Linked DNA regions of Oryctolagus cuniculus. The protein of the gene in region 2 interacts with the protein of the main gene of each other region in a biochemical or structural test. Links are inferred from orthologs where the notes say so. Each region holds a gene or a part of one and is shown on either strand. Other genes may lie near its edges. The genes, in order: AXL, GAS6 and TYRO3.

The links.
Region 1: the proteins of GAS6 (region 2) and AXL form a complex in vitro, tested with the Homo sapiens proteins (2 studies listed by BioGRID and IntAct, with this or other methods). The link is inferred for Oryctolagus cuniculus from reciprocal best matches to the Homo sapiens genes GAS6 and AXL.
Region 3: the proteins of GAS6 (region 2) and TYRO3 form a complex in vitro, tested with the Homo sapiens proteins (2 studies listed by BioGRID). The link is inferred for Oryctolagus cuniculus from reciprocal best matches to the Homo sapiens genes GAS6 and TYRO3.

What each region holds. Positions count from the first base shown.
Region 1 is NC_091449.1:13,349,251-13,352,138, forward strand, and holds the end of AXL (tyrosine-protein kinase receptor UFO), read right to left. Parts: intron 2,262-2,888; coding exon 1,910-2,261; 3' UTR 568-1,909; downstream 1-567. UniProt on the Homo sapiens protein: Receptor tyrosine kinase that transduces signals from the extracellular matrix into the cytoplasm by binding growth factor GAS6 and which is thus regulating many physiological processes including cell survival, cell proliferation, migration and differentiation.
Region 2 is NC_091440.1:352,412-356,590, reverse strand, and holds the start of GAS6 (growth arrest-specific protein 6), read right to left. Parts: upstream 2,827-4,179; 5' UTR 2,529-2,826; coding exon 2,450-2,528; intron 2,372-2,449; coding exon 2,205-2,371; intron 1-2,204. UniProt on the Homo sapiens protein: Ligand for tyrosine-protein kinase receptors AXL, TYRO3 and MER whose signaling is implicated in cell growth and survival, cell adhesion and cell migration.
Region 3 is NC_091443.1:64,631,993-64,636,138, forward strand, and holds the start of TYRO3 (tyrosine-protein kinase receptor TYRO3), read left to right. Parts: upstream 1-1,304; 5' UTR 1,305-1,322; coding exon 1,323-1,464; intron 1,465-1,750; exon of another isoform or gene 1,751-2,362; coding exon of another isoform or gene 2,363-2,402; intron 2,403-3,207; coding exon 3,208-3,391; intron 3,392-3,574; coding exon 3,575-3,675; intron 3,676-4,146. Other genes in the region: acidic proline-rich protein PRP25-like, read right to left, coding at 684-1,304. UniProt on the Homo sapiens protein: Receptor tyrosine kinase that transduces signals from the extracellular matrix into the cytoplasm by binding to several ligands including TULP1 or GAS6. Regulates many physiological processes including cell survival, migration and differentiation.

The DNA.
Region 1 (2,888 bases), on a different chromosome or scaffold from region 2:
GCACCCACTCCGCGGCGGGACAGACACTCACGTGGGCCCGGAGGTTCCAGTCCAGACACCCCGCCCCTCGCCCACGTCCGACTTCCTCTCTCCTCCCAGCCTTGCACAACGATTTGTTCTAAAAAAGTTTGTGGCCCGGATTGAACCGTCCCGGCTTCTCGGGAGCCGCCACCGGGGGGCGTCCGGGCGCTGCCAGGGGCTCCTCGGTCCGCTCCCGGACACACCCTGGACTGCGCGCCCAGGGCAGCGAGCGGACTCCCCTGGTGGACCCGGGACTACCGGAGGGGTTCTGTGCCCGCGTTTCTCTTCCTGGACTGTGGGTACCTGTTCTGCTCCGTGTCTCAGGATTTCTATCACTTTGGATCTGTTGCTCAAGTTTCTTCCTCTTCCCGCTGGGTGTCTGCCTGATTGTGTGTGTTTGGCCTCGATGTACAGTGTTCATTTAGACCTCTCTAGGGAGGAGACTTTCGTAGACCCCACCACACCCTTCCTGGTACTGACAGAGAAACTGAATGGCTGGGGAGAGGGGCCGCATCGCAGCTGAATGCAGATGAGAGGAGACACAAAGAAGATTACGAAGTTTTATGTGCTCTCAGCTCCTCCGGAGGCACCAGAGACCACACTTGTACACCGGCGATAAGGGACTGGCTCATGGGGGCAGCATGACCCAAAAGTAGGGAGCCGCCCATCCCCCGGGGTGGTGGGGAAGGAGGCATCCCTAATGCATTGCACAGGCTTGGGGGGAGGAGGAAGCGAAGGCAGTGCCTAAGAAGGGGAGGGGCACATAGAGGAACCCTATCAGGTTAGAACCCTGGAATCGTACCTAATACTCTAGGCTGTGGACCCTGAGAACTGAGAACACGCAGTCTTTTAACTGCAGTACCTAGAACCTTCAGATTTACAAATGTGGATTCTTGGGTCCTTCACATGATCCTAGGAAGGCAGAGTGCACATAGAACCTGGAGGTGTCCAATGTTAGGAACGATTAGAACTTTGGAGTCTAGTTAGTCATGGCTACCGGTGAGAGTCCTGCATGCAGAATCTTGGACCAACAGACCCTAGAGTGCCCTGAAACACAGGCTAGACCGGCATCAGGATCTCAGGGATTAACATCCAGACTCCTGGAGCATATGATCTAGAATCTTAGATTCCGAGACTAAGTCTTAGGATGTCACATCTTAGGACATGAGACCACAGAACGTCCATCTTTAGACTCTTAGAACTTCTGAGTTGCAGATTCTAGAATCCTGGATCATCTATGACCTCAGAGTCCATTAGGATATCAAACCTTGAGGAGACAATGTTTTGAAGCCTTCGTGTCCAGACTCTTATGGTTAAAGGATTTAGATCTGAGAGCCTTAGAATGTCAGCTTTTAGAAATATAGGCCTTAGGACCTCCATGTCTAGAATTACAGAATCTACATTCTTACATACATACCATTAGAAAAGCAAAATCTAGAGCTTTAGAACCTAAAATCTTGGGGTCTTATCAAGAATCTTAGAACCAGAAAATCTAGAACCACACAATCTCACAGCCTTAGAACTTCCTTGCTGAGAACTTGAGCACTTTTGAGTTAGAGACGTTGGAATTTCAGGTCCTTAGAACCAAGAACTCGTAGTATCTCTGAAACCCAGAACCTCGGCATCGAGACTCCTTAACCCTTAGAGTCCCGAGTCTCGGAATGCAAAGGCCTGGGAGTACCTTGAGAGACTGCAGTCGAACCCCTTCCTCCTACAGGTGGGGGTGCTGTGGTACAGGGAAGGCAAGGGTCTGTCCGGATGGAGGGGGGTGGCAGGAAGACAGGGCTGCAGTGGGGAGAAACCTAGGGTGGGAGAGTGGGGAGGGGGCTTCCCCCAGTGGCAGTGCCTAGCTTGGATCCTGAGAGGAAGTTCTGGGTAGAGGGTCATCTCAGACTCCATCCTCCTGTGCCGGGGGTGCTTGGGAGCTCCTGTCGGCAGGCAGAGCAGGGCCAGGAGCCGTGGAAGGGCAGAGGACGTAGCGTCCGGCAGGATGGACCTCCGCGGCCGTAAGGCAGCTGCAGGAGTCCTTCGGGTCGGGCTGGGTGTGCGGCTCTGCTCCTCCGGCAGCTCCACGGGGCTCGGAATGACCTCCGCCCTCGTCCATGTTGACGTAGAGGATTTCGTCAGGCTCCTGGGCAGGGGGCAGGGCCTTCAGCGTGTTCTCCAGGTCTTCCCGCAGCTCTGAAAAACTTGGCCGGTCTCGGGGGTTCAGCTCCCAGCACCGGGACATCAGGGCATACCTAGGGCAACAAAGTGAGGGGTGAGAGACTGAGCAGGGACTCAGACAGATGGCATTCTGGGAGTCTGGGGACACTGTATGACATGCAGAGAACTGGGGGCGTTTCAAAGGGCTGTGGGGAAACAGCAATGTGGGGGATCTTCCAGAGATTTGGAGATGCTCAGCAGTTTCTGCAGGGCGTCCTGGAGGTGGGATGTGGGAAGGGCCTGGGGACACCTGTCTGGTGTGAGGATCGGGCCTGGGGACACCTGTCTGGTGTGAGGATCGGGCCTGGGGACACCTGTCTGGGTGTGAGGATCGGGCCTGGGGACACCTGTCTGGTGTGAGGATCGGGCCTGGGGACACCTGTCTGGTGTGAGGATCTGCTCCAGCACAGCTTTCCAGGTGAGCCTCCAAGAAGAGACCCCGGCATCAGAGCCTGGCCCTGCCACCTAGAGGCTGCGCTGGTTTAAAACAAGCCCATAAAGCCTCCTTTCAAAGGATGGCAGGAAGTCTCCTCCCGCTGTGTGCAGCCAGAGTGTGTGTGACTTCCGAGACCAGCTCACACAGGCACTGTGGCTTCCTGCCTGCACTTGCCCTGGAGTCACCGTCCCAGTGCTAGGGAGGGGTCCTTGTGGCTAGGATCGGG
Region 2 (4,179 bases):
GTCACTGGCCGTCCCTCCGTGAGGCCTCAGCCTCGGCTGTGCTGGCTGCCAACGGTGTCTGGACGGCTGCCTCTCACGGGACAAGGGATGCAGGGGAGCCAAGGACCCCTGACGGGTGGACACCCAGTCTGCAGGCCCAGAGCTGGACTCCTCCGGGAGCAGCCTCTCCCTGGAAAAGAGGAGGGAAGGCGACACCCGGGGATGCAGCGTGCTCAGGACAGGCACGCATGGGGCAACGCCTTGGCCTGGGGCACGCACCGGTGAGGGGGGTCCTGGGAGCTGGGGAGGGGACTGAATCCTGGGAAACAGTGACTGCTCTGATTGGGCCACACTGGGCTCCCAGGACAGACAGGGAAAGGCCCCTGGCACAGAAACCAGTGCCAGGGGCCGGGCTGGGAGTGCCCCTCGCTTCCTGTCTTCCATGCACAGCTTTGCAAATAGAGTTGCAACTAAGACATACAAGCCATGCAATCAGGCACAGGAGCCAGACTCAGGGGTCCGGAGCTGCAGCAGGCAGGGCTCCGTGGCTGGGGTGGCCTGGCCTCAGCTCTGCCCCCACAGCCCATCCCATACTAGGCATCGCAATCCCCCAGGTGAGGGACCCCAGTGACCCGGCACTGCAGCTAGGACAATGCAGCGAGGACCTCCAGAGACCGCCTGCCTCGGCCGATCACCATGAAATAGACAGGAAATCCAGGGAAACCTCCAGCCACAGGGGCCTCGGCACAGCCAGGGGTGAGCATGCGTGTCAGGAAAGGGACCTGGGGGGCCGGCCAGCAGACCAGGCACCATGGTGAGTCACCACGTGGCCACTCCTGCTCCCACGTGACACCGCCTCATCCCACGGGAGCTCCACAGAGAAGCCCAGCTGAGCCCCAAACTCTGCTGTGAGAGGACCAGGTGACCACGCCTTGCAGCCACTGTGACTGCCACACACCCCTCCCTCCTGCGCAGACGCTGCTGTGACTGTGTGTGTCTCCCTCTCACACACACACACTGTCCACTCCATGCACACGGGGCTGTGACTGTCACACACACACACACACACACTGTCCACTCCATGCACATGGGGCTGTGACTGTCACACACCCCTCCCTCCTGCGCAGACGCTGCTGTGACTGTGTGTGTCTCTCTCTCTCACACACACACTGTCCACTCCATGCACACGGGGCTGTGACTGTCACACACACACACACACACCATCCCCTTCATCACACAGGGCTGTGACTGCCACACACCTTCCCTCCTGCACAGACGCTGCTGTGACTGTGTGTGTCTCCCTCACACACACACACACACTGTCCACTCCATGCACATGGGGCTGTGACTGTCACACACACACACACACACACACACACACTGTCCACTCCGTGCACATGGGGCTGTGACTGTCACACACACACACACACACCATCCCCTTCATCACACGGGGCTGTGACTGTCACACACACACACACACACACCATCCCCTTCATGCACATGGGGCTGTGACTGTCACACACACACACCATCCCCTTCATCACACGGGGCTGTGACTGTCACACACACACACACACACACTGTCCACTCCATGCACACGGGGCTGTGACTGTCACACACACACACACACACACACCATCCCCTTCATCACACGGGGCTGTGACTGTCACACACACACACACACACACACACACACCATCCCCTTCATCACACGGGGCTGTGACTGTCACACACACACACACACCATCCCCTTCATCCCACGGGGCTGTGACTGTCACACACACACACACACCATCCCCTTCATCACACGGGGCTGTGACTGTCACACACACACACACACATAGGCCCCGTCTGTTGTCCCCCACAGGATTCCGCAGTTGCGTTTTCTGGGCTGCAGCTGCAGGCAATTTCTGTGGGATCTTTGGGTTCCTCTTTCTTTGGGGACGCCCCGCATCGGCGCCTGTGCCCCTCACCCCCCAACCCGCAGAGGAGGCAGGGAGCCAGGAGGCGCTTGGGGTAGAATCCTGGCCGCTCGGTCACGGTTTGCAAACGGACACCTGGTTCCTTGCTGGGGAGGCGCAGCAGGGTGCGGACCCCCGACCCGCCCGGCCAGAGGAGGACGTGGGTCCCGGGGAGCGGCCCACGAGCTGCGGGGCGGTGCCCCACAGCTCCGGGCGCCCTCGGGCCGCGCACCCGCCCCGGGACTCCCGCGCGCCCGCACTCACCGTCTCCGGGTCGTTCTCGAACACCTCGCGGGCCTCCTCCTTGCTGCACAGCTCCTCCACGCACTCCCTCTCCAGGTGGCCCTGCTTGGCCTCCTCGAAGACCTGGTAGGCACGGCGCTGCCTGGGCCGCAGGAACTGCGCGGCCTCGCGCGCCCGCAGCAGCACGGCTGCGGGAGAGAGGGGCGCGCGGTCAGGCCGCGCCCGGCCCGGAGCGCGCGGGGTCGCGGGGCGCGCGCGGCACTCACTGGGCGCCGACTCCGAGGCCAGCAGCAGCAGCAGCAGCGCCGTGCCCAGGGCGGCGGCCGGCCCGGGCGCGGGCTGCATGGCGGGGGCCGGGCGGGCGGCCGTGAGCGCGCGCGGTCAGAGCTCCCAGGAGGTCGCAGGGGTCCGAGGGCGCCGCGGGGCAGCGGCTCCCGTCATCCTGTCCAGCGGCCCTGAAGGTCACATCCCGACCGCGGCGGCGGCCCGGGCGCGCCGGCTGCTCTGGGCGGGGGCGGCGCGGCCGGGGGCGGGGCCGGCGGCCGTGCGACTGCAGGGCTCGGGCTGGGAGGCGCGGGCGGAGCGCTCCAGCCGGTTTTCGCCGGGAAGCTCCGAGACTCAAGGCGAAAGCAGGTCACCCAGGACGTGGCGATCTCCACGCAGGCCGGCTGGGCCCGCGCGCGCTCGCAGTGGCCGCGTGTCCGGGACGCAGTGACCTCCCGGGGCGCGAACGCGGCTGCGTGCTCCGCGCCCGGCACGTCGCCGGCATCCTTGGAGCCTCCCTTCGTGGGCGCATTTTCTCAGGACGCGAAACTCACTGGAGAAAAAGAGAAACCGAGTTCGAGCCCCGCAAGGGTCCGAGGAGTGAGACTGCGCGATTTCCTTTCGTGACCTGTGTTCTCAGAACCCGGTCTCCGCCGGGGATCCAGGGGGAAGCAGCACTCGGCGTCCCGTCAGAATATTCTACAAAGTCACCGGCGAACAGAACCACAGCCAGGCCAAGCAGGCAGTGAGCCTGGGGACCCTGGACGCCACTCCAGAGAGTCCTGCCCCCCGGGACCTGCACAGCCCAAAGTGGTGATGGTGACGGTGACATGGAGATGGCGGTGACATGGCTGCAGCTAGCTCCTCCCACCTTCTGCAGTCGGGAGAATGGGAAGGCAGTGCTGGCAGCCTTCGAACCTGGTGGTTTGCGGGTGCCGTGCCCAAGCGTGAATCTGCCCAGGGGACTGAGCTTCGGAGAGAACTGAAAACCGAGCCCCTGTGCCCGACCCGGTGCCCCAGGACACTGCCGGGCAGTTGCCCATTGGCAAGTGGGCAGGCGTGAAGTGCCCCCCAAGGACTTTAGGAGCCTTCCTGCCTGCTAGGAGAGACCTGGGTGTGCGGCAGACCCCTCTCCTGCGCTCACTCGGCAGCCCCTCCCGGCGCGCCGCCGTGTGCCACACAGCATCCCGGCCCCTGTGTGCCACGAAGTATCCCGGCCCTTGTGTGCATTCTTTTCTAGGCTCCCAAAGCCGGCAGCCCAGAGGCAGGGGTCGAGGAGGGGACACAGCACGGTGATTGTTTGCGGCTGTTTCGTCACGTTTGCGTGGCTTTGTAGAAGAGATTACAGTGCTGTGTAACCCCCAGAATTATCCAGTCCACACGGGGTGGGCGTCTCTGTCCTCTGCTTCCATGGGACGTCTGCCTTAGGGGGTCCGGGACCAGCATGGTCCCACCCCGACAGAGCCTTCCAGGCCCCCGGCCTCCCCTTAGCTGGGATCCGAGTCCCAGTGGGTCCCAATGCCCCCTTCCTGCAGGGCCTTGGTTTAACAAAACCCATTCACATCTCTCGCGCGTTCTGATCGGCAGAGCTGAGCGATGCATAAAGCAAATGTGGGAGGCAATGACAGATCTCTGACCTCACGCGGCTTCGACATTTTCACCCTCATTTCCAGGGCAACTGGCTCCGCAGCAGAAGTAGAAAGTGGGTTAGAAACAGGCTGCGTCCCAAGCT
Region 3 (4,146 bases), on a different chromosome or scaffold from region 2:
CCCCCAGCTGGGGCTGAAGCCGCCGCCAGCAAGGCTGTTATCATTAGCGTAATTAATAAACAAGCACTGCTGGGGCCAAGCGGAGGAGGAGGCGGGCCCCTGCTGCCCAGAAGAGTCCCTGGAAAGATCCAGGGCGGTTGTGGGGAGGTTGAATGGCAGCCCCCCCGCCCCAGGGCCTCTGGGAAGGGTTGTCTGCGTTGGTCTCCCTGCGGAGGCGGGGTGGTACAGGCAGTGGCAAGGACACGGGGAGGGGAACACTTGGTGGGCTTGGTTGGGAACCAGCTCTGCATCTGCTTGACAGGATGTCTGTGGGCAAGGCCACCCCCGCGACTGCTGGTTTTCAGGCAGGCTGTGAGGCAGTTATTCATTCACTTAACTGACATCTGCCTATTTATATAAGGATTGCCTACTGTGTGCAGGGTGGCATAGAAATAATGGCTAATGCATAACTGGGCAGGGTGGGGACATGGCCATCTTTCACACCAGATTGGGGGGGGGCAGGGAAGCACTAGGCAGAAGGGACAGCTCCAAAGGCGGGCTGTTTGGCCGTGTAGCCTAGCGCGGGGACCAGTGAGTCTCAAGGTAGCACCTGAGACTGCAAGACCCCAGACCCAAGTTGGAAAATACGCCGCTAAGGTGGGGAGGCGAAAGTGGTCATTTTCGGGTAGGAGGATACTTGGGAATCAGAGGCGGGACATGGAGCAGGAACGTGAAGACGTGAGGTGAAAGAGAGAGGAGAGAGGCGCGAAAGGCACGCAAGGGGGAGCCGGTTCTGCGGGGGCAGCCTGCGTCCCAGCGACGTTGGGGCCCGGGGCTAGGAGCGTCCCGTCCAGAGGGGGAGTGCTGGATTCTGCCACCAAGAGTCTACACAGAAGTTGGGCTGCGTAGGGGCTCCGGCGGAGTTTCTGAGGCTCCGGAGTATTTGGGGAGGGGGGCGTGGCCGGGGGCCCTCCAGGGGCCGGAGTCCGATCCCGGCGGCCGGGGCGGGGGGTCAGCGACCGAGCGCGGCCCCAGGGCTCCGCGGGGGGGCGGTACGAGTTCGGGCTGCGGGCAGGCCGGGAGGAGGCGGCGGCTCCGCGAAGAACATGAATCAGCGGCGGCGGCGGCTGAGGAAGGAGCGCGGTGGCCCAGGAACGGCCCCGGGGACCCCCCGCGGCTGACGGTGGCGGCCGCGGCGCGGGTCTCGGAGGCACGGGTCCCGGCGCCGCCCCCCGGGCGGGCTCCAGCCCCTCCCCCGGCCCTCCCTCTCCTCCTCCCCCTCTGTCCTCCCTTCTTCTTCCTCGCTCGCGGGCCGGGCCCGGCATGGTGCGCCGTCGCCGCCGATGGCGCTGAGGCGGAGCATGGGGCGGCCGGGGCTCCCGCCGCTGCCGCCGCCGCCGCCGCCGCCGCCGCCACCGCCGCCGGTACTGCTGCTGCTGCTGGCGGGGCTGGTCTCTTTGCTGCTCCCGGAGTCCGCGGCCGTAGGTAGGGGCTGGCCCGGGAGGCGGCGGGAAGTGGGGGCTGCGGAGGGGCGCGGCCGGCGCTCGGAGCCCAGGGGCGGCAGCCGAGCGAGACCCGGGCCTGGGCGGGCCGGAGGTTTGGGTTGGGGGGTCGGAGGCTGGAAGGCCGAGGTGGGGGCGGCGGAGGGCGCGCTGCGGAGTGTTGGCCGCGGGGTCTGCGGTCGGGCCCCCCACCCCCAACTTTCTCGCGACTGGAGGCAGGGTGAAGGGAGGCGAGTGGGGTGTGGGCTGTGCGGTCAGCGGGGGGCGGTGGGGACTGGATTTTCCCGCCGTGATGTTCTTGGCTGTTTGCTCTCGTCTGCCCACCTCGCACGCAGTGGTCCCACTCGGAAAGCAGAGGCTGGGGCCGAGAACCCAAGGGGCACCCCATACCATTTAGAAACAGGGGCTGCGAGGATGCCCTGTCACAAAAACATCTGGGCACACTCAAGTTCCTGGGTCCGCAAAGCTTCCTGGAACCGGGTATGTTGGAGGGCAGGGGCTGAGGCTAGGCTGCTGGTCTCTGCCGGGGTAGCTTGATGTCCCATGGAGCCGCTGGGGCAAGAGTGCTCCATGCAGCTCCTGGCTCTCCCAAGCGCACACTGCACACCTCCGGGACTGCTAGAGGACGAGGGGGTGTGAGGCTGCCCTGCCTGTCCTGCGTCTGAGCCCGACACCAAGAAGGAGGTGGAGAAGAGGCAGAGGCCAGGGCAGCAGGCACTGGGCTGGCACCTCCTGAGACAGCAGTCTCTCAAGGAAGGGAAGGGAAAGACGGTGACAAGGCTTTAGCAGCTAAGAGGTGTGCATCTGATGCTCAGAGAGCCCAGGCATTTACCTAGAGTCACACAGCCAAGGACAGGAGGAAGCAAGACTGGATTTCAGCCATGTGGAGACTTCCCTGCACCTCTGCCAGGGAGCCAGGAGGTGTGTGCGTGTGGTGTGTGCGTGTGCATGCATGTGTGCACAGAGGAGAGGGGCAGCGTTCCAGAGGGTGGCCCTTGTTGATGTGACAATGGCTCTGCAGTCTTGGGCTAGCTGCTCAGGGCCCCACCCCTCTCTTCTGCCTCCCACCCTCCTAGCCTCCGCCCCTGCACACATTCAGGTATTAATAGAGCCGGTGGCTGCCAGGAAGGCTGCCATGTGTTTGATCTGACGTGGTTTTGTAGCCATATGTTCCCTACTTTGGGAGAGCACCCCCTTCCCTTCCGCAGCCTCCTTTCTTTGGCAGAAAGGGTGGAGGGGGTGCTGGTGCCGTCGCAGGGGCTACGCTGACTCCTTGGGTGGAGAGCGGGCAGCCTGTTGCACCGGCTGGGTGCAGTAGCCAATTCTAGGGCAGTGCGTGCCCCAGGGGCTGAGGACTTTCCCCTGTTTCAGCCCTCTCCCCCCTTTTTTTTGGGCTTTCCCCTTGGTGGTTGGGCCTGGATTTGCATTGCCCAGCAGGGAGGCTTGGAGAAAAGGGCCTCAGAGGTGGTGTTGGAGGGACTTGGTAGAACAGAAGTGAGGCCTGAGCTGTCTGTCCTGTGTCTCCCCGCCCAGCCCAGGTCCTGGCCACCTTCCCTCCCACGCTGGCCTGCCCCTGCTGCCTCCTTGGCTCTGGTGGAGAATCAGCCCGAAGCTGTGTTCTGGGAGGGAATAGGAGAGATTTCCAAGGACAGGGTCTCTCTCTCTGACACCGACTCGCTCTCGGTCTGACCCAGTTGGTGACACTGTCTCCCCCTGCCTCCCCCAGACCTGAAGCTCTGGGGAGCCCCGGTGAAGATGACCGTGTCTCAGGGGCTGCCTGTGAGGCTCAACTGCACCGTGGAGGGGCTGGACAGCCCTGACATCCACTGGATGAAGGACGGGGCTGTCATCGAGACCCTGGACGAGGTGTTCATCCAGCTGGACGATCGGCACTGGGTCAGCTTCCTCAGGTGCAGGACCAGGGGGCACGGTGCGGGGGCCGGCCGGGGCCAGGCTGTGCCGAGGGCCGGGGCTCTGCAGGGTTTTTGTGTTGGACAGCCTGTGGAACCCTTCTGAAGTGGGGGCAGGCTGAGTGCTCCATGTCCTGTTGCCCCTGGACCGTGGGAGGCGAGCCTAGTGTCCTGTTTCCGCAGCCTGAAGTCAGTGGAGCGCTCGGATGCGGGCCACTACTGGTGCCAAGCGTATGATGGGGGAGAAACGGAGATGTCCCAGCAGGTGTGGCTCACGGTCGAAGGTGAGGAGGCAGGCCACATGGATGCGCTGGCCTGGAGCAGGTGCTGCCTGATGCCGGCCGGCCGTATCAGTGGAGGAGAACTCCATGCAAGCCAGCTTACCCCACTGCCCTGTGGGGACCAGCTTACACCAGGCTCTGGGCCCACCCCAGACTTCCGATCTGAGAACCAAGGAGATAACCAGGACCCGCAGCCCAGGGAGAAAGGGGCTGGGGGATGCAGCCTGTTTCAGTTGTCAGAGCAACATGCCTCTAGCACCCATCTGGGGCTGGACTCTGTTCCGCCAAGTGGCCCGGCCAGCAGGGCGAGGGGTGGGGGAGGGGAGGAAAGCTCCGCAGCTGTGGGAGCTCAGAGCTGTTCAGCCCAGGAAAACAAAGTGACTAAGAAAGTAACAAAGGGCCGGGACCCAGAGCCTGCAGAACCCTGCTAAAGCGCCCACCCACTCCCCTCCTCCAGCCCCCACCCCCTTACTC